2 linked regions of the Rhinolophus ferrumequinum genome follow. Each later gene encodes a partner of the first gene's protein in a complex. Links are inferred from orthologs where the notes say so. Each region holds a gene or a part of one and is shown on either strand. Other genes may lie near its edges. The genes, in order: TACR1 and TAC1.

Region 1 (10,329 bases):
TTCAGAGGATGGATACAGATGACCTAGCATGTCAATAGTAAAAGTCCGAAAAGGAGAAAAAAAGACTGATGAGAAGAGGTAATAATTTCAAAAAAATACTAGAAGAAAATTTCCTTGAGATGAAGAAAGGACTCATCTGGTTTCATGCTGGAATTAAAAATTTTAAGCCCACACATTTCCAAAACTTGCTTGAAGAGAAGACTGACCCATGGATACGTGGTAAAAACACAGATTACTGAGCCCCATCCCAAGCCTACAAAATCGGAATTATCAGAGGAACATGATAATAACTGATGTTTACATAACAAGTAACACAAGAGATTCTTGTCTTCTGAGCAATTGGAAAACACTAGACCAATTTTAAGCTCCTCCAATTTTAACGTGCATACAAATCACCTAGGGTCTTCTTTAAATGCAGATTATAGTTTAGTAGTTCTGTATTGGCCCAAGAATTTGCATTTCCAACTAGCTGGTTCAGGGATCAGGACTCATATTTCTGGCCATAGTTAAGGATGAAATCCTTCCTAATTCATTTTTTGATGCATAGCACTAATATTAAAACCTGATCAAGATAGAAAAGGAAAAAAAATCTATACATCAATCTCACTTAGAAAAATAGGGGCAAATATGTTAAAGTAAACATTAACAAGTAGAATCCAGCAATATATCAAAGGAATGATACAGCCTCTGGCCCAGCAGAATTTATCCCAGGAATGCTAGGATGGTCAATGTTTAGGCCAGTGTGAGGAAGTCTATCCACTTAATCCAGTATGGCAACAAATTAGTGAAAAAAATCACACACTCATATCAGCAAATCCTGAAAAAGGCATTTAAAAATAAAAGAAATTACAAGACATTCCTATTAAAACTTCAAGGCAAAATAAAGTAGAAGGGAACTATTTAAACATAAAAGACTTGTTATCAAATGTAACAACAATTATCCTAAATGGTAAAAACTAAAGCCATCTTAATTAAATTCAGAAACTATAAGAAAATACCTGCTGTCATCATTTTTAATTTAATATTGTCTTGGAAGTTAATGAAAATTCAGTGAGACAAGAAAATGCTAGTAATGTGATTGAAAACTAAGGCAACTCAAGTAAAAGGGATCAGATATATGGTGATGGAAAGAGAACTGACTCTAGGTGGTGACACACAATGTGATATATAGATGACGTATTACAGAATTGTACACCTATGTAACTTTGCTAACAATTGTCACTCCAATAAACTTTAGTTAAAAAAAAAACACAGAACTATAGAATGAATGAAAAGTGTAGTGAAATGGCTAGAACACACACATACTCACACAAATACATATACACAGAAGTAAATAGGTTTTCTTCGATCTAGGATAAAAAAGGAAAAAATATTTCATTTACAATAGGAAAAACAACTACAAAATACGTAGAAATGAATTTAATCAAAAGACTGGATCTATTTTAACCAAAATTATAAAATCTTTTTGAAAGGCATAAAACAAGACTTGAAACAATAGAAAGGCATACCACGTTCTTGGATGAAAAAACTTAATATAGAAATGTCAATGTTGTGAAAATTAAATTAATTCCAGGCAGTTTCTTTTAGAGTGCTAATGCAGTTTGTTCAGGCTTTTAAAAATTGAGTTAAAGTTTAAATGTGATGCCCCAAAATAGATAAGAAAAGTATGAAATGAGCAGTCAGGTGAACTTGCCTTACCAGATACCAGAATATTTTACTTCTGTATTAGTCAGAATAAGCTGTATCACAGTAGGTAACAAATGAAGCCCAAGCCCTAATGCTTTAACACAACCAGAATTTGTTTCTTGCTCGCGCTACATGTACGCCCATAATGACTTAGCAGGGGCCTATGTATAGTCATTTGGGAAATCACAGTGATCAAGACCTGTCATCTTGTAGCTGCATCATTTGGGACTCGGCAGGAGAGAATACATGAAGAAGTCTCTCTCTCTCTCTCTCTCTCTCTCTCTCTCTCTCTCTCTCTCTCTCTCTCTCTCACACACACACACACACACACACACTTCTATGCTTCACTCAAGAAGTGACACATATCATTTCCATTCAAAATCTACTGGTTGAATTAGTCACAAGGCTCTGCCTGATTGCAAGGGAGCTAAGGAGAGTAAGATAGTGTGTGTGTGTGTGTGTGTGTGTGTGTGTGTGTGTAGTTTTGTTATACGAGTAGACAAGTGAATCAGTGGAAAAGACTGGAGAATATAAATATTAAATCACACATATTTGAAATTTTAATTAATGACAAGGATAATGGTTGAATTCCCTGGGAAAATGGATGGAGCTATAAAAGTAAAAGTAAATATTTTACATAATATAAAATAACAAACTCCAGGTGAATTACATTTTACTAAATTTAAAAAATGAAACAATGAAAAGCTTCCAAGAAAATCTAGGAGACTATGTGAAAAAAGCCAGGATTTGGGGAGATGTTTTAAAACCAAAATGCTATTAAAGCAAATGCAAACTACATAAAAATTGTTTAAGTTTTTACATTAGAAAAAGTATTTGAAATATTCATGACGGGCAAAGTGTTTGCACCTATAATATACAAAAAGCACTTATTTTACAAAAAATGACTGGAAAGATATCCAACAGAAAAAGGGACAAGAGATGTAAATAAGCAATTTATGGAAGAGACAATCCACATAGCCAAAAAAAATCTTATAAAAAGTTCAAATTCTCTAGTAGTCAGGAAAATAAACACTATGTATTAGCAATGCTATCATATTTTACATACTTTAGACTGACAAAACTAAAAAGACCTTTAATACTTATTACTGGAGTAGATGTGGGGAAAAGGGTAATTTAATTGCTAGTGAAATATAACAGTGTTACACCCTTTTAGAAGGCAATCTGGCAACATTAAACAAAAATAGGAATATACAACACACACACGTACATATGGATATAAATATAATCCATGACCTAGCAATTCCTCTTGAAATCTATCCCATAGAAATAAAACATGATTGTGGAGACCTATGTAAAAATGTATATTGCAGCATTGTTTTTAGTAGCAAAAACTGGAAGCAAAGTGAATTTTTATGATTAGGGAAAGGAGTGTATAAATTATGGTGCATCCATAACGCAAGAATAATATTTAGCCATTGAAAAGAATGAGTTAAATCTCTCTTTGTTGACTCTGAAGCATCCAGACAATATTTTGAGTGAGAAAAACAAAATTCAGACAATAATGAAAGTCCTATATTTGTATACACTTACATGTGTGGGTATTGTGTGTTGGTATTTCTTTTTTATTGTATTAAAGAACCTAGACAAATAAGGAAGGATTTATCCTAGGCTATCAACAGATTTGCTGTGAGACTGGTGTGTCTGTGTTGTGTGCCAAGGAGGAAGTTCAGTAGAAAGAGGAGTTAAAGAAAAAAGAATAAGAGAAAAAATAGCAACTCTTGGAGGAGAAAAGCATATCTATAATATCTTATCTATACATTTGTGCAAAGTTTTCCCTATGTGGGGAAGAAAGTCTCTTTAGAAGGGACAATGCTTGAGAAGGTCCCTCCACCCAGCATGGGTGTAAACCAAGGATACTTTCTGCTACTGTATGGCTGAGGCTTTTTAAAAATGTGAACCCATCATAAATATCCTTTGGGTGTGTGTGTGTGTGTGTGTGTGTGTGTGTGTGTGTGTGTGTGTGTGTGTGTGAAAGAAATTAACTCCAGCAAGTCACATATATTTCTAGGACATGGCTACCTGCCAGGGAGAACCAGGAGCAGGAAAGAGAGTCACCCAGGCTAGCTTCATCCACAAGTCAGGGCAGGAAATGAAGACCTGTGAAAGTCAGAGTAAGGAATGTAGGTGTTCTTCTAAGAGAGCTGGGCTGTCCTCACTTACGCAGTTACGCAAAGTGACATGGTTTGACATAAAACGTCTCTCTGGAATATTCTCTTCTATTTCACCCTCCACTTCTCATCCTTAACATATTCTCCAGGCTTCTCCACTGATACGATTTTCTACCTTCCTCCCTGATTCCCCTCATTGTCAAGGTTAGGTACTCTCCCCACCCCCACCGCCTCTTCTCCTCTCAAGCAGAGCCTAATACCTTTGCTCATCATAATACTGCCAGTTTGCGTAATTGTCTCTTTCTCCCTCACTAGACTGTGTTTGCCCGGCTGTATCTCCAGCACAGTACCTGGCTCAAGACATGGACGTGCTCTACTAATGGAGGATAAATGGATAAATCCTTATTTTTTAGCTTAGTATTTTTCCCCCTTAAGCATCGAGTCAAGTTCCTTTAGAGAATGTCAGCCTGCTGCCCCTGAACCAGAAGAAAGAGAGAAAGACAGCTTTATACAGCTAGAGAGGAAACATTAAAGGTGGACACGCATACGCACACACTCTCCCTCAGCTTTGCGAGATGGTGGAAGGAGCAATGAGAGGTCCAGGGTGGTAGAGAAGGCGATCCCTTCGCTGCTCCGCCCCCCTCTCCCAATGAGGGGGAGCTGTTCTCTTCAAGGCATCACTGGGTTTAGGGGTGCCTGGAGGAACCGGCAGTGCAAAGTGCGGTTCATATAAACAATGAAATTCCAGGCTTCAACAAAAACAGAGTGAACTAGCAGATATCCCAGCCCTGAGAGAGGATCCGATTTTAGCCAGGCATAAATCGGTGCAATAAATGTCTAAGCCTTAAAGAGCTTCCCACGACATACTTTGCGCGCTCGTGGTAGAAGCGCGCAAGCAAGCAGGACTAATGCGCAAACGCCGCTCCGGGAGAGTGAGTGCTTGCGCGGACCCGAGCCCCCGGTGTTACTCCGGGTCGGCGTCCCCCAGTTGCGAGTCCTCTCAGTGAAGCAGGGGAGGGTCGCGGGCAGAGGGGTAGGTGGCTCCCAGAAACAGCCTGCAGGTTCGAGTCCCCACGGAACCACATCTCCTTGGCAGTCTGGCTGGAACCCGCTCCGAACCTGAGTCCATCTGAGCGTCTCCAAAAACGGTTTGCAACGTCTGGCGAGTCCTTCCCACCTCCTGCCAGTGGCCGGCACCCGCTCGGCCGTTTGATGTGGCCTTGGGCTGGGAGATCAGGCTTCGAAGCCCGCCAGGGAGGAGTGATAGGGATGGAGGGGGGAGAAAAGAGGGGCAGAGCTACCCTTTCCAGTCCCTATGCAAACCTGGGCGGAAGAGCCCCCAACGCCACCCAGGTCCCCGCTCCGGCCCGCAGGCCCGGGAGGCGCGGAGGCAGAGGCTGCCAGGTTCCCAGGCGGCGAATGCAGTGAATGATGGCAGAGAGAGCCCAGAGCCGCGCATCTGGGCGACACACTGCTTATGGGTGACTCCTGAGCTTACCAAGCTTCGAAGGGAACCCAGCCAGCCCTCATTGCCTGACGCGGGTCTCATCTGGAGAGATCAGCTGGAGCTTTTCATGGAGCCAAGGGCCAAGCCACCAGAGTGGCGGGGGCTGTGTCCCCAAAGCTTAGAACCTATCCCAGCTTCCCAAGGAAATCGGCAAGCCAGGAAAAGAAGCTAGGTATTTTAGGGGTGTTCCTGAACACTACCTCCGCAAAGTTCCTTTCCGGACACCTGGAACCGGGTGTCGTCGCCTCTCGCTTCTCGGTAGCGGGCAGAACAAGCCCGAGGTTCACTCGAACTGGAGCGCGGGCTAGAGTGCTGCCCGGAGAGCCGCGCTGGCATGCCGCCCCCTACACGTGCCCAACTCCCGCAACCACAGGCAGGCGCCTCTGCAGAACTGTCGCAGCGCTCAGAGCTGCCCTCCCAGGAAGTTGAGAGCCCATCACCACAGCTATTTCGCCAACCCCTCCTTTCCCTTTGGTGCATCTGGGTTCCAGCTGCAGACCCCAGCTGGCTCAATTACTCCGAGGCCACCTAGCGTCCCCTGGCGGAGTGCGTGGGACGCCCGGTTTGCGGACTCCCACAGCAGGTAGCTGCAAAAGGCGTGGTGGCTGCGACGCTGGAGTGAGACAGTTGCCAACAGCTGGTGCAGCTGCCGCGCTGCGCAGCGGGTCTGGCGAGTACGCAGCCCAGGTACTGCCCCTTCCCGGTGACGTCTCTGCAGCGGGTTATAAAAAACCTCGCTCTCAGCCTGCCGAGGTTCAGCTAACTCACAAGCCGTAGAGGACCCGAGCCAAGGGGCGGCTGCGAAGCTGCAAGCAGTGGCGGCGGCGGCGGTGGCAGCAGCCCCGGCGGCGGCGGCGAAAGCAAAGGAAAAATTTCCAGCTGGACACGGGTCCCCAGAATCTCGGCCTTAGACTCTGAACTTTTGCAGGTCGCGTTGTGACGAGCACCCCCTTGGCTCCCAAGTCCTCACGCAACACAGAGCTTTGCCTTCCCAGCTGCGGGCAGGTGGGATTGGAGTTACAAACAGCAGCAGGTGTAGAAAGGCAAGGGTCTCCTGCTTCCTGGAACCGTGACCCTCGCGATTTCTTTCCCGTTTTCAGTCCAACGCAGGAGAGACGCTGTCTCCAGATTTCTGGACTCAAATGCTTCCTGAAGCTTGAAAGTGGGGGAATTCAGAGCCAAGAGGGGCAGACAGCGCATCAGAAGCATTCATCTTCCTAGCGCCAAGTCTCCTACTTGCAAGCAAAGAGTTCTGCCCAAACGAGCTTGCAGCCCTCCTGTCTTGGTTAAGCAAGACCCTGATCCCAGGTACTGGCCTCGGGACCCTGCTGCAACGTAGGTGCGTGTACCGAGGGGACAGCTTAACCGCTTAGCTGAGGAATGGATAACGTCCTCCCAGTTGACTCAGACCTCTTCCCAAACATCTCCACCAATACCTCGGAGCCAAACCAGTTTGTGCAGCCAGCCTGGCAAATTGTCCTTTGGGCAGCTGCCTACACAGTCATCGTGGTGACCTCTGTGGTGGGCAACGTGGTGGTAATGTGGATCATCTTGGCCCACAAGAGAATGAGGACAGTCACCAACTATTTCCTGGTGAACTTGGCCTTCGCGGAGGCCTCCATGGCTGCATTCAACACGGTGGTAAACTTCACCTATGCTGTCCACAATGAGTGGTACTATGGCCTGTTCTACTGCAAGTTCCACAACTTCTTCCCCATCGCTGCGGTCTTTGCCAGTATCTACTCCATGACGGCTGTCGCCTTGGATAGGTGAGCTTGCCCTTGGTGGAAACTGAAGAAAGTGTCCACAGAGGACGATGGCTTTGCTATGGGGAAGCGGGGTTGGGTTCTGTCTGGTTCAAATTGGAGGGTGGTTACCCTGGACCCTGGGGTTTTTGCTGGCAGCCAGTTGTTGATGGGGGACTTAGTCTTAATCACCATTTTCTACTCTATTTCCTCTTTCCTTTTCTCCCCTTTTTCACCCATCATCAGTCATCCTTCCTTTTTTCACATGCTCCCTTTTTTATTTCCTTTAACCCTCTTTTCTTCATCCCTTCTCCACTCCTCTCTCAGACACTTTCCTTTCAACTCCTGCTTTGCTTCTTTCTGTATATTCCTTCTCTCCTTTGCCCTGAAAGCCTGAAGGGGATACCCAAGGCTTGGCCGAGGGGCCGGCCCCTGTCTTGGGCTCTGTAAACCCCTGTATGCCTGCTTTTCTTGGGCAGCCTCTTGGTGCCTTCCAGTTTTAAGTACACCTGGCAACAATTTCTCATTTTGGACTTTTTCCTGAAGATGCAGGGACTTTCTGCTCCCACCTCAACTTTCCAATATTATTTGGATGTGAAGAGCATTTCAATAGAATCATAACTACTCAGAACTCTAATTCAGCTCCCTCTTCACTGCTAGGAATTCTCATTCAGGAATGAGAGGCAGCTATGCTGTCCTTAAGGAACTCCACAGTTAGGGAGCTTATCCAGGAGTTTTTCTAAATTTCCCTTGTAATGTGAAGTCAATGTTTTTAGCCTGTATGTATCCACAGAGAAACATGCTTGGCGGAGGCAATTGAGAGCTCTTTCTTTCCTGCAACGAACAGGTTAGGGTTTCCAAGCCTGATTGAAAGTGAAAAGGTTGGCATTTTTAAATACTGAGGCTAGCGCTTTGGAATGAATGCACCCTTAGATGGCGTGGTGGAAAATTGATTATTAGAGCACAGCTATATTTGTATTGATTTTTTTGTGGATGTCCTAGGTCTGTTGTGTGTATGTTTACATGGACATAAGTGTTAAATGTTTACCAGGGATGTGGAGATATGTTTGAAACACCTGCCACTGTGATTTAAAAGAGGGTTCTTTGATGGCCTTGCTGAGATAAATGCATGTGAGAAACCCAAAGAAGGAGCTAGGCGAAAAACTTCAAAACAATTTTTCCCAAACTGCTAAATGCTTTTGCATAAAGATTGTTTACGATTTCCAATTGGTTTGAGGTCTTTTTCAGCTTCTTTAGTGAATGAACACTTGTAAGATCCGAGAAAGTTATGTTTCCTTTGCAGTGGTATCCACATGCTGAATTTTAAGTCCCATGTATACTTCCCTTTATGCAACTCTTATGTGCTTGATATGTTGTGTGTAAGACAAGTTCTGGTGAATCAGTTATATTTTAAGTGTGGAAGGCAAACCAATTACACAAAGTGGTAGTGAAATGAATTCTTTGTAAATGTATCATTTACGCTACTCTAGTTTGCAGATACTCAGTTTGCTGAGAGTGAGGTACAGTTGTAAATCTGTCTGCACTGACTTGCTTCTTTAACTTCACTGCAACCCCCTTAAACTCAGAAACCCCTTAGTGTGATCTATAACTGAATATAGGCACGATGAAAACTGGAGCCTTGCACATGCTCTCTCAATGATCCCTAAATTACAGGGAAAATTGTTATTTGTACTTCGTTGGGGCCTTGTTGGAGCTCAGGAGTCCTGTCAATCAGCATGAGCCCCAGCGGATGGCCCTTTCACTTTGGCTTACACAGAACTGACATGTTCCACAGCCCTGCTCTTTCCCTTGAACTTAGAAGGTTAAGGACAAGAGTCAGGGTCAAAGTCTTCACAGTGGATCGGGCAGAAAACCAGATTTCAGCTGCCTGGACTCTGGCATCTCAGGCTCCACTGTTTTTCTCTAGGCAAACCACAGACAGGACCCTGACCTGGTGTGTCCTGCTCAGTGAGGTCGGAGGATCTCTGGTGCCAAAGCTGAGGGAAATGACAGCAGCGAGAAATGTCCCCATGTCTCTTATGTACAGAACAGCCCAGGGAGATTATCAACGACATGCTCAAGGTTAAAGTTCAAGGTAGAGTTAGGGATCCAGTGTCGGCGGCATTGGGGCTGTGTCTCCAAGGTCTCTCAGGGCTCCTTCTATTTTTCCTTGCTCACCTCATTGAGGAATCCGTGAATTAGCCCCCTCAGCCCCTCTGAGGAATGTAGCTCCCCCTGTATTTGTGGTCATCTGTTCTCTCCCAAGAATGTTTTCATAAAGAAGGAGCCTTAAGCTCTCTCCATTTGAATGATCTCTCCTTTCTCCACCATGGCAATGCGGGCTTTGAAAAAAGGTTAAGCTATCTTTTTGTATGTTCTTTGAATTTTTAACAGGTAATCTTTGAATCCAGTCTTTAAAAATGAAAGCAAGATGGTTTTCCAGATGATAAAATTAAACCTTGTTCATTGTAGAAAAATTTGGGAAGTATGAAGAGCGTAGAAACAAAATTACAAATCAACCATTACTTCCCTATGCAAAAATAACACTTGTTAACATTTGAATTTCTCTCTTATGACTATTACACTACATAATTGAAGTCAGACTCTATATAATTTTGTAACTTACTTTTTCCCATTGATATTAATGGAAAACATTAATAACATTTTCCTAATTTATTAAAAAGTCTTCAGTAACATAATGTTAATGTCTTCCTAATATTCCATTATATGAATGTGCTATTATTACTTTAAGCATCCCTCTACTGGTGGGTATTTAGGTGGTTTCTAGACTTTTTTTTGCTATTATGACTAATAAACTAATAAACATTTCTGTATGATAATTTTGTTTTGTGTTCTTGATTATTTTCTTAGGGTAGATTCCCAGAAGTGGAATTACTGGGTCAAATGAAATGAATTTTTAAAAAACATTTCCTCCTAAATTTAAAGGATTATAAACTCTGAGCAGAGCAAGGAACATGTCTATTCTGTCTTGTTTATTTTATTTCCTCAGCACAAAGCTGAGTGCCTGGCATCTAACAATCACTACATGTTTATTGAATAAGTGAATGAATGAATAAAATAATACATGTTCCTAGAAAAACATTTGGAAAATACATAAAATTGTAGAGAAAATGTAAAAATCATCTACAATCCCACTTTGGACAGTTAACCAGTTAAAATCCTGGAATGCTAGCTTGTACTTACTTTTTCTGTGTTATTTATGCCACATGCAGTCACTCATACTTTTAAGGACAAATTTTGG
Region 2 (10,795 bases), on another chromosome or scaffold:
CTTCATGAAGAGCAAGCAATTTGTATAAATGAATTTATTTTGTTTTTATTATTTCTTTATTTTTGTGTTGGAAGACTGCCAGATGTAAGATCTTGTAAAACTTTCCAATGACCTTGGTATCAAGTGAAATTCGGTCTTATTTCCCACGTCCCCCTACCTCCTCAGTTCAGTAAGGTTACATGTGGCTTAGTTAGCAGCTATAAGGGAAAGAGTATTAAGCTAGCCCAAAGGTTCAGGTTAGTTAATGATTAAATGGTGCAGACACTGGTAAGGCTGGCAGTTTGGAAAAGAGAAATTGATGCTTGATGATATTAGCTTAATCAGGTATAAATCTATTCTTGGATTTACTTATAGCAATTAGATTTCTTTCACCATAAATATTCATTTTATATTTATTATTCCTTTTTTAATACTTTGATAACTATGCCTTATAAAGAAAATATACATGTATATTTAAGATACTGTTTATTTTGAGTCATGATTTTATACATACCAGAATTTAAAGCTCTTTTGCCCATTAGTCCAACAAAGGAATCTGTTTTATGCCCTGGAAAAATACATTTAGGGGTATTTTAATATGTATATCTTTGAGGAAATAAACTGTTATAAGTAGTACAAAAAAAAAAAAAAGCAAGCTTCCAAATATGTGCCCATATAATAAATTGATGTCTATTTCAAGTTTTGGTGAGCCCAAAGAAATGAAGATTCATTCCTAATAAGTCTTGCAAATGACACTAAAACAATACAAGGAAAGCATTTCCCTCAATTCTATATCTAAATATTAGCAAGTACCCTTTATTCATATTATATTTTATCTGTTTATATATAAAGTTTTAAATATTGTTGCTATTTAAGCTAGCTTTGATTTTTTAGGGAGTCAATTTCACATTTGTGTGACAGAGAAATATCCAAGCCTATTTCCTCATGTTACTGAGAATGTTGTATTTCTCAGGAACGAAACCTTAGTTAAGTCTGATCCCTGCATCTGATAATTATAAACTTCTGAAAGGTCATGATTTCTATTTTATTGGACTTTAAATACTTCTCCTTTTGGAAAAGTGTGTTAGTTTTGACATTAATAGAGTGCATTTCTTTTTCATTACACAGGATTTTGCTATATATAATTCCCTAGAAAGTCAAATCCTTAGAAAGCAAATATGATTGATTTATATTCAAGGTTGAAGCCTTTGGAAAAGGTTATATTTTAACTCCAGTGGGAGAATGTATTTTGGTTTACACTGTATTGACAATCTTACTGTGGCCTACTCTGCCACCCAGTGAACCAAAATCTAAGTCAGGGTAAGAAAGTCGACAATACAATTAGGATGGAGCTCTGAGACTTTCTGTCAACTTGGTTCCATTAACTGGGAAACTGGGATCTAACGACCATCAAATGTCACAATTTTGCCATCTTCACTACCCTAAGAAATGCTTCACTGTGCTTTGATAGATTGAGGTTTCCCATTCAGTTATGGAATCGAAAAACTGCATTTCTATCTATCTACTTTTAATAAGGATTCTCTACTGAGACATTCAGTGGAGCCTCTTAATTGGCTGCTGAATTACCTTAATAAGTCAAGTCATCATGGCATCCAGCATACTCAACTGAGTTGGAAGATTCATATAAATATATATATGTGTGTGTATATATATATATATATTTGCAGTGGAACTGGTGGTTGTCACAGGTGGGGGAGAATGTGTGGTGGATTTATACTCCTAGGATTGAAATTCTTCTCTAAACTAGCAATTTATAGGCGTTAAAGGATTTTTTTTTATAGCAGCTTAAAACAATAACAAATATTTATTATCTCATAGTTTCTGTGAGTCAGAAATTCAGCAGCAGTTTACCTGGGAGTTAAAAGCTTTTTAACATAATGTATTATTTTGTTAAGTATGATATGTCTAAATAACAGAGCTTTAAACAGTCATGTTCTGGATATAAACATGAGTTCCTCCATTCTTATATTGTCTTAATTTAAAATATTAAGTCCCAAGTTGAAGCAGGAAATAAGATCAGGTGTTATATAAAGTGGAATTCAATCTTTTACATTTGTGTTTGATAAATGTGCAAATAATTTTGAACTTACTTTTATGAGAGATCTGGCCATGTCCTAGAAGAAAGAAAGATAAAATGAGCAAATGCAATAGATTTGTTTTAAAGAGGCTACATTATGTCTTTTAAAGAGAAATATAAAATAAGTTGATTTTTAAAATATGGAACATTGCCCATTCTTGTACTATCCTGAGAAATATAACAGAGCCATAAATGTTCACCAAATTATCGATAATAAAGCAAAATATTTTAACAAACAACACAATATTTTTAAGTGCTTTCTATAGGTCACAGATTCAAATCCAGGAGTATGAGTCTCCTGAGGCCTGCTAACAACTAGGCCATACCTCCTCTGTTTTCCTATAAGAAACACATCTTCAAGGATGGCTACGAATTAGACACTCAGGAGAGAGAGGGAGAGATACCCAAATCCATCTTTTTATTAAACAAACTTAGTCAAGAATCTGTATTTCAGCCTATAAAAGACATTTTCACTTTCCTACATATGTATTCACAATAGTAAAATAAAGATTTATAGAAATGTTTACCATAAAGAGCCTTTAACAGGGCCACTTGTTTTTCAATTGAGGAATCTGACAAGAGACAATTGACATTAACTGTTCACAGGTCCCACTGATGGTACATGAATTCAAAGAAAGTGAATATTTCTATCACTAGACAAGGGGCAGCTAAGTCTCTTCTAACCCCAATCGTCTATAATCAGCTTCCACATGCACTTAGACTAATCAGACTACTACTCCCTGAGGCTCCTGCTTGGTCAGTTTGGACCTTTAGTCCAGGGAGCTAAGGTTGGTTCCTGTTCTTGGTGGTTTGGTTACAACACTGTGAGGCATATGAAACAGATGTCTCCCTCCCTCCGCGGGCATGTGCGTGTGACAGTGAGGTGAGGGCAAGCGCCGCCCCAGGGGTGGGTGGGGAGGGGGAATTTCACCCCTTTTAGGCTAGAAATCTCTAGTCAAAGAGCCAGAGAGAGTGAGTGCCCTGAGAATGAGTGGGCAGACCCGGCGGATTGCCGGGAGAGATAAAGAGAGGGATGGCTGCCCATCTCACCAGCATCCCGTTTGCCCATTAATCCGAAGAACTGCTGAGGCTTGGGTCTCCGGGCGATTCTCTGCAGAAGATGCTCAAAGGGCTCAGGCAGCTCCTCCTGGGGGACAGACGTGCGAACAAATGGGCGTGTAGGCAACCGGCACGAGGCTCCCGGAAACCTGAGTCATTACCGTGGTGCGCTCCAGCCCTGGGCGAACCTCGGCGGCCCGCACTGGGGTCCGGTGGGGCCAGGACAGGGAAGCTGGCTCCACAGGCAGGCGAGAGGAGGCTTGGCTTACCCACGCCCGGCCGAGGGGGGTCCAGGACAGGGCGCCCCCTGCCTCCACCCCTCCCAGCGGAACTCCTGTGCAGCTCACTGCCTCCCCTAAACCCTTGCGAGTTTGCAGGAGGCTCGGTGTCTTTGAGCCCTGTACACTTTCCACTCTTTCTTCCCAGCCCGGGTCCCCTCCGTCATCTGCAGCGCAGCCACCAGACTTTGTCTTGCTCTGGCGCCGGCTTTGGAGACGCCTCGCCACTCTAAATGCACACAGGTGTGGTGTGTCTGTCGGGGATGAGTGGGAAAGGGTGACAAAGCTTTACAAGTGACCCGCACAGAGCGACGTTCCAGCGAGGCGCGCTCCCTTGTACCAAGAACCTGCGAGCCATGTAAAGAAAAACTGGCAGCTACGTGTTCAGGTCCGTAAAGTAAACGCCACGGCAGCACGTTAGCTTCCCATCCACCTCCGTTCATTTAAGTCCCCAGCAGCTCGCCCCTCGTCCCCGCTTCTGCCTATGTCCGGGGTGCGTTCCTTTACCCCGGCTCAGCGTTTCCAAACGCCAGGTCCTTGCAGCTGGACTGGAGTTCCCCGAAATCCCTGTTACCTGGGGATGAAACCTTTTGAGGTTTCCAGCCTTGTGAGGACCCCGGGCTCATCAGGAAGGGCATCATTGCTTCAGTGAGTTCCGGAGACCCGACCCGCAGCCCTCGGGAAGAAACTTGGAAGGTGGGCACAAAATCTCGTGCGGGTCCCAGGGAGTAGCTTCCTTTACATCCCCCCCCCCCGTGTGCCCCCACTGCCTGTGGTCGCGGTCGTAGTGCCCACCAGGCTAACTAGGGGTGGGGGGAAGTGACAGGTCCCAAGCCCAGGAAAAAGGACATGGGCCAGCTTGGGACCAGGGCTCACCTTGATCTGGTCGCTGTCAGACCAGTCCGACCAATAATTAAGATCATCACTGGCTCCGATTTCTTCTGCACACAGTTGAGTGGACACAAGAAGAACGACTGCCAAAGCCACAAGGGTTTTCATGTTGGATTTCTGGTCAGAGTGGGGAGAAGAGATCGAGGAGAGAAAAATACATGCATCGGGGGTGGCTATCCAAGAGTTGGAGCAGCAAAATTGTCGGTCCCACAACAGAACTAAGGGCAATTGAACCAAGATAAAAAGTCTAAGGGCTGAAGTCCCGCCTGTATCCTTTAGGAAAGATAACCATGCCCCAAAGCTTCTCGAATCCCCTTCTCCCTAGATCCCAACTCCCCCTGCCCCCGACCCACCAATCCACACCTTCAAGCCAGGAGTCTCCGCAGATGGAAGACAAAGAGGCACAGAGGCATTTGGAATACCTGTCTCCCTGCTGCACCCCCACTGTTTCTCGCCCCAGCTGGCCCATGCAGCTTTGTCAGCCGCCACTTCGGAGCGACGCGCGGCGCGGCGCGCCCCCCGGCAGGGCTCGGGCACTTACTGCTGCGGCCGAGCCCGCTGGGTTGCTCTGGCTGGTCTGAGCGCACGCGGGGCGCTCCACACTGGGTCGCTGTGGCGATGGAGGAGGAGGTCGCAGCGCGCTTTCTGCCGGCCTAGTGAGGTGCTGCATTTATCTGAGACTCCACGAGCCTCTAGACCCACGTGACTCGCTCCCCACGAGATTTTTCTGCTCAATATTTAATTAGCCGCCTCCTTTCGCTTGCGTCTGATTGAGAGTTTCCGAGACGGTAACCGGTCGGTGCCCATAATATCTGGACCCAATTGGGTTCGAAATGACGCAATTTTAGGAAAATCGAGATCTCGCCATCCAATCCCCAGGGGCCAGTCTTCTTCCGTCTGCAGATCTGACGCCCCCTCCCCTCTCCTTCTTCCAAACGGTGTTCCTTGACACTTGAGATTACTCATCAAAATTGAGCAAAGTGACTCATTCCTCGGACTTCGGCAACTTTTCCGTCCCTTGAGACGTCAGGATAAGTTGCACTTCTAAGGATGGGCAAATAACTTCAGGTATTAAGATCTTGTCGTCGGAAATCGTGCTAAGAAAGTAGGAGCACTTCAAATGGGGGAGGAGGGGTGGAAGGCATTTTTTCCACCTTCTGTTTCCATCTGCAGACTGTCTTACGTGTTTCTGAGATACAGCCTCCTTCCATGGGCAGAACATCCTTCTCCCATATCAGCTGGAATACCCGAATATCTTCAGCATTACAAAAGGATTTTTAGTCACCAAAGTATTTCAGAGGATGGATGCAGGTTTTGGAGAAAGGGGAATTTAAACGTGATACTGCAGGTAGAACTTTTATTTCAGTGCCATTCTAGGATATCTTTTGTTCCAAAATAGCTAAGTCCTATTCCTTGCCACATCCAGAAGCAGGGGGAAAGAGGATATTCAGCTTCTTCTCTCCTACCCTTTCTTGCTGAAGATTAAGAAACCGGCAAGATGGTACCAGATACTTACCGGGTGTCGCTAAACGACTGTAAAGATCATTCATAGATTTCTCCTATATCTGAAAACAAGTGTAGTGAAGATGCTAATTGCGTGGTCATTAACAATACGAAACTATTAGCCTAATAATATCTGTACAGAAATCACAGCTTTCCATGAGCCCATGGTTTGCCTTGCAGACACATTTCTTTCATCTCTAAATGAATTAAATGATGTTTCTTGGTGGAGATGTTTTCTCCTCTTTACTCAGTAAGTACTATATTTTGCAGCTAACTCCGATGTATTTAGTGTAATGCATAAAATAAATAATTTTCGCAACCCATATAAACCAGTAATTTTTTCCTCTAATATATGTTCTTTCTTACATAACCCTGCATTTTGAAATTCCCATGTGTCTCTCATTTCTTTAGGCCTAGCCTCACAACCAGAGGCATTCTATTTTTTGTTTTTATAAGTTTTTATATGGAAAATTATTATATTAAATATACAAAAGTAGAGAGAATCATCCACTTGAAACAATTTGCAAATTTTATCTAGAAATCCTTCCTATTTCACTTCCACTCAGATTATTTTGAAGCAAATCTCAGACATTTCAACTGTACATATTTCAGCATGCCTGTATATTTATATAATGGTAGAGATTTTAAAAATAAAAACAGAACCATGCCATTATTCCACCTAAAACAACACAAAATAATTCGTTACAATATTATATATCCAGTCAATGTTCAAATATTCCTCTTGTTTCAGAAATCCCTACCCCATACAGTTTACTAGTTGAAATCATACCCTGCACTTGGTTCGTATATCTCTAAAATCTCCCAGAAGCCATAGTTTATGGATAAAAGTAATCAATAAAGTGTACTACATTCTGGAGTTTACTGCTTGCCTCCTAATGGTTTCTTTTAACTTGTTCCTCTGTCCTGTTTCCTGTTAATTGGTAGTTGTATCTAGAAGCTTGATCCCCTGTAGGTTTGGTTTTTCTGACAAAGCTGCTTTGCACGTGTTGTTAGGAAACACATGATAACTGGTTGTTTCTTCTTTTGAGATGTTAGCAGTCTTTAATGATCATTTTCTAGATCTATTAGTTCATTAGTACTTTCAAAATAGTGTTATTCTGATTTTATCATTCATTCTTTATTGGTTAGCTGGACTATTTCTTCCATATAAAGAGAAACATTTTCTCTCAACAACTATTTAATTACTCCAAGACATTATAAATATAAGAAAGACGGGATAAGTGCTTGATTACTTCCTTTGACCAATTTTAAAAATGAGTTGGTAAATTAAAACATTCAAGCATGGACGTTTTTTCCAAAACTTTTAGGATGATTATGACCTCATGGAATTAAACATGTGAAGTATTTCAATCCTTTAAAGAAGGATAGAAGCAGGCCTTCTTCTAACTGATGCTCAAGTTATCCAGTTTCTTGGACCGTGGGTGACATTTCACATTGGTTCCTGAGACTTCTGATGTGTCTTGAATAGGCTTTAATGGCTGTCTTGTTTTTTGGTGAGACAAGATATGCCAGGTTTAAGTTGTGTATTTTCTTTCTCAGACCTGCAATTTGCATTTAAGGCACTCTCATTTCCTTTGTAGAAATGATAATTAGAGATTATAATCTGGGCATTGTGGATGCATATTACTACTGAGTACTTCATTGTTTCAAGACCTTTTCAATGAATAGAACTGGAAATGTTTGTGTGTAAAATCATAACTGTATATTGACACTTCCTCTGCAAATCAGGATACCATAGTCTCTTTCCTTAACCTCTTCTGTTTTGCATCTATTCTATCCTGCCAAAAAAATTCCAGCTCCCAGTGACGTCAACATAATTACTCATTAGCTTTATCCCAATGCATAATGCCAACATGATCAACAATATGATTATTAGAAACAGATTAATAGTTTTTATTTGCATGTCTTTATCTTTAGGCTATATCACACTAGGTATGTTCAGTCCATTTACTATATTTTAAAGTCACTTTAAAAGTTCTTCTCTGTATAGTTATGCTACTAACTCTTAAACACATAGGTTCATTTGATCATTTTGATTTTGAGTTTTAGGGACTGCTTTTTAAATTGAACATTATGTAAAAATACATAGTTCCAAACTCAAATATTCAAAACATAATGCATTCAGAGAAGTGTAGCTTTAATTTCTGTCCCTCCAACCTCTTCCTTCTAGTAGCATTTCTTTTCAGTTTTTTAGTTTATCCTTCTATTATTATTGTTATTGTTATTGTTGTTATTTTTATTTTGACATAAGCAAATATATGTTCATATCCCTCTCCACACTCTAAAATTCCACACGTAAAGTGGGGTATTTTAGATTAATTTTTTTTTTGTTGTTTCTCAGTTGCTGATGTGGTTTATAAGGTAACAATAAAGATGGCTATTTCTTCCCTGTTAGCTCAATGTCACCAGGTGTATAATTCTAGTCAGGTGCCATACGTTGTAAATATGCCACAGTACACAAAACACAGGGTGTTTCATATACTTGAGTAATAAATAATAATGAGATAAAATTGGTTAAAGAATACTTTTCTCACTTTTTCCATGTCATTCGTTAATTGCTAACTTAGTGCTCCTAGTCTGATCATGCCTTTACTGACACGCTTTGTCCTTGAACATTGCGGGTTTGGAACATTTATATTCTTTATGGTTTTCTTTGGAATATTTATACTCTTTATTTGTATTTTATTTATTATTTGGGATATTTATACTCTTTATTTGTTTTATTTCCCAGAACATCAAATTTATGAAAAAATATATTAATAAAATACATATGCATGAGAAGTAAAATGGTGAAAAAGTAAATAGTTAATAAATCATTTTTTATGTTTGTAAATTAAAAAAACTGCAGAAAATTACAAAGAAAAAAATTAATATTATCCATTTTCTCATAAGCCAGAACAAACCACTGTTAACATCTTGATATACTGCTTATAATTTTTTAATGGGAAAATAGTCACCTGATTGTTTTTGTAAAATAAGATACAATCTTTATAGAAAAACAAAGCAATGCAGAAAAGTACAATAATGTATTTCTTTTTCATTATTGCAAATTCAGAAATTGCCATCCTTAGCATTAAGAGAACATCATTGTGAATATCTTTCCATGCATATTATATGGTTAGAAGAATAGAACAGTAGACAGATAAGTAAAAATTATGAAAACAGGATGAGACCATCAAAAATATTTTTAATGAAAGATATTTATATTTTGTTTGACTTTAGCAGTAGAAAAACAAAAAAAAAGTGAAAAATGTTTCTTCACGTGATATTTTTTCTTCAAAAGAACCCGTTAATGTTAAAAAACAAGACTTAGAAATAAACATTAAGAAGCTAGCATGTAACATTAAAAAATAGACATTTAGATAATATCTCTTTATTCCCTGTTTTGAAAGATGAGGACATCAGCACTCTTAAACTTTCTCCCATTTCCCCTTCTCCTATCTCCCCATTTTGATAGTTACATGATTATTTTAAAATTATTCAGGTTTATAATACTTAGATTTAGTTTTGCTACCATACTTTTATTAGTATTTGAAATGTCTACTATTCAGCCTGTATTTAAACAGTTTCACTGTTCACTACCAGTTTTTTGTTTGTTTGTTTGTTTGATTTTTAGTTTCAGGTGTACAAAACAATGTAATAGGTAGACACACTACTGAGCTTTGCCATTCTCAAGTTTATTTTTAATCGTCTCTTATTTGGCTGGAAGTCACTGTCAAGCAAATTTTTTTCCTCAGGAAGAAATGACACATATTGTGTTCCCTGAGTTCTCTCATGCTAGTGAATATCTGTCTGTGGCTTCTAAGCTCAAGGGACATCTAGATTAGTTGTAATACTTTAAAGTTAAATTTTATTTTTCACAGTACTTTATGGATATTTCTCCATTGTCCTGTGGAACTGAATGTTATGGAGAATTCTGAGGTGGGACAATTTTTCCCTAAGCTTGTATGTAACTTGCTTTTTTGCCTGACTATCTGAGGAATTCTTTCTTTATTCTTGACATTTAATAGTTTAATTAGGATATGTCTTGTTGTTAGTCATCCTAAATCTGATTTTATTGGAGTTTCATGAACTGTTTTTGTTTTGCAAATTATTCTCTTTCTTCATTTAGGAAAATTCTATTGTATTAGGTCTTTAAATATATCTTTGAAGTGGAAATTTCATTTAAAGAATGCTATGGTCTTTTTCTTTGGATCATAATATATTTTATATTATATATAAATATTGTAATATGTTGATATCTCATGTCTATAATATTCTTCCAAATTGCTTTAATTCTTTGCCCCTTTCATCTGTATTCACTTAGATTACCTTAAGTCTTTCCTTTTTGGGTCAGTAATTCACCTTTGTTTATTCTGTACCTTGCCGTTTCTAATTTACTTATTATTTCCATAATCATGTTGCATATTCCCCTACTTGTTCTCATAGACTAGTATTTTCCTTTTTTGTCTCATTTAATTACTTTATTATTTTATTGGTATGCTCTTATTTTATTGCATTTATGTTCTTGTTAAGATGTTCTTAGCGTGAAGTAATTGAGGGAATTTCTTTCTGTTTCCTGAGTTATATTTTTTTCTGGTTTAATGGTAAATGCATGAGTTTTGAGCAAGTGCTACCAATTTTAATACTGGCATAGCCACTTTCTAGTCATGTGGGCTTGGACAAGTTACTTAAGCACTCTGCCTCAATTTTCTAATCTGCCAAATAGTATAAGAAATAGTACTTACCTTATAACATTGCTGTGGCAATTAATTGAGTAAATACATGTGAAGTATAAAGAACAGTGCCTAGCACATGCAATGAATGTTTATTATTATTATTCTAGGTGGCTGTGTGTGTGTGTGTGTGTGTGTGTGTGCGCGCTAATGGTTAATTTTATCTGTCAATTCAACTAGGCTTATGTTGCCCAGTTGTTTGGTCAAACACCACTGTAAATATAGCTGTGAAGGTATTTTTAAAGATGTGA

The links.
Region 2: the proteins of TACR1 (region 1) and TAC1 are in contact, whole or in part, in a cryo-EM structure (PDB 7P02), measured with the Homo sapiens proteins. The link is inferred for Rhinolophus ferrumequinum from reciprocal best matches to the Homo sapiens genes TACR1 and TAC1. Residues at the interface, in NP_001049.1 of Homo sapiens: Gln24, Phe25, Asn85, Asn89, Tyr92, Ala93, Asn96, Trp98, His108, Asn109, Ile113, Gln165, Met174, Arg177, Val179, Cys180, Met181, Ile182, His197, Val200, Phe264, Phe267, Phe268, Tyr278, Leu279, Ile283, Gln284, Tyr287, Met291; in NP_003173.1 of Homo sapiens: Lys60, Pro61, Gln62, Gln63, Phe64, Phe65, Gly66, Leu67, Met68.

The regions. Positions count from the first base shown.
Region 1 is NC_046296.1:16,981,948-16,992,276, forward strand, and holds the start of TACR1 (substance-P receptor), read left to right. Parts: upstream 1-5,895; 5' UTR 5,896-6,702; coding exon 6,703-7,091; intron 7,092-10,329. UniProt on the Homo sapiens protein: This is a receptor for the tachykinin neuropeptide substance P. It is probably associated with G proteins that activate a phosphatidylinositol-calcium second messenger system.
Region 2 is NC_046303.1:29,687,655-29,698,449, forward strand, and holds the start of TAC1 (protachykinin-1), read right to left. Parts: upstream 5,073-10,795; 5' UTR 4,976-5,072; coding exon 4,847-4,975; intron 4,818-4,846; exon of another isoform or gene 4,669-4,817; intron 4,423-4,668; coding exon 4,291-4,422; intron 3,225-4,290; coding exon 3,128-3,224; intron 2,650-3,127; coding exon 2,605-2,649; intron 2,115-2,604; coding exon 2,091-2,114; intron 548-2,090; coding exon 494-547; intron 1-493. UniProt on the Homo sapiens protein: Tachykinins are active peptides which excite neurons, evoke behavioral responses, are potent vasodilators and secretagogues, and contract (directly or indirectly) many smooth muscles.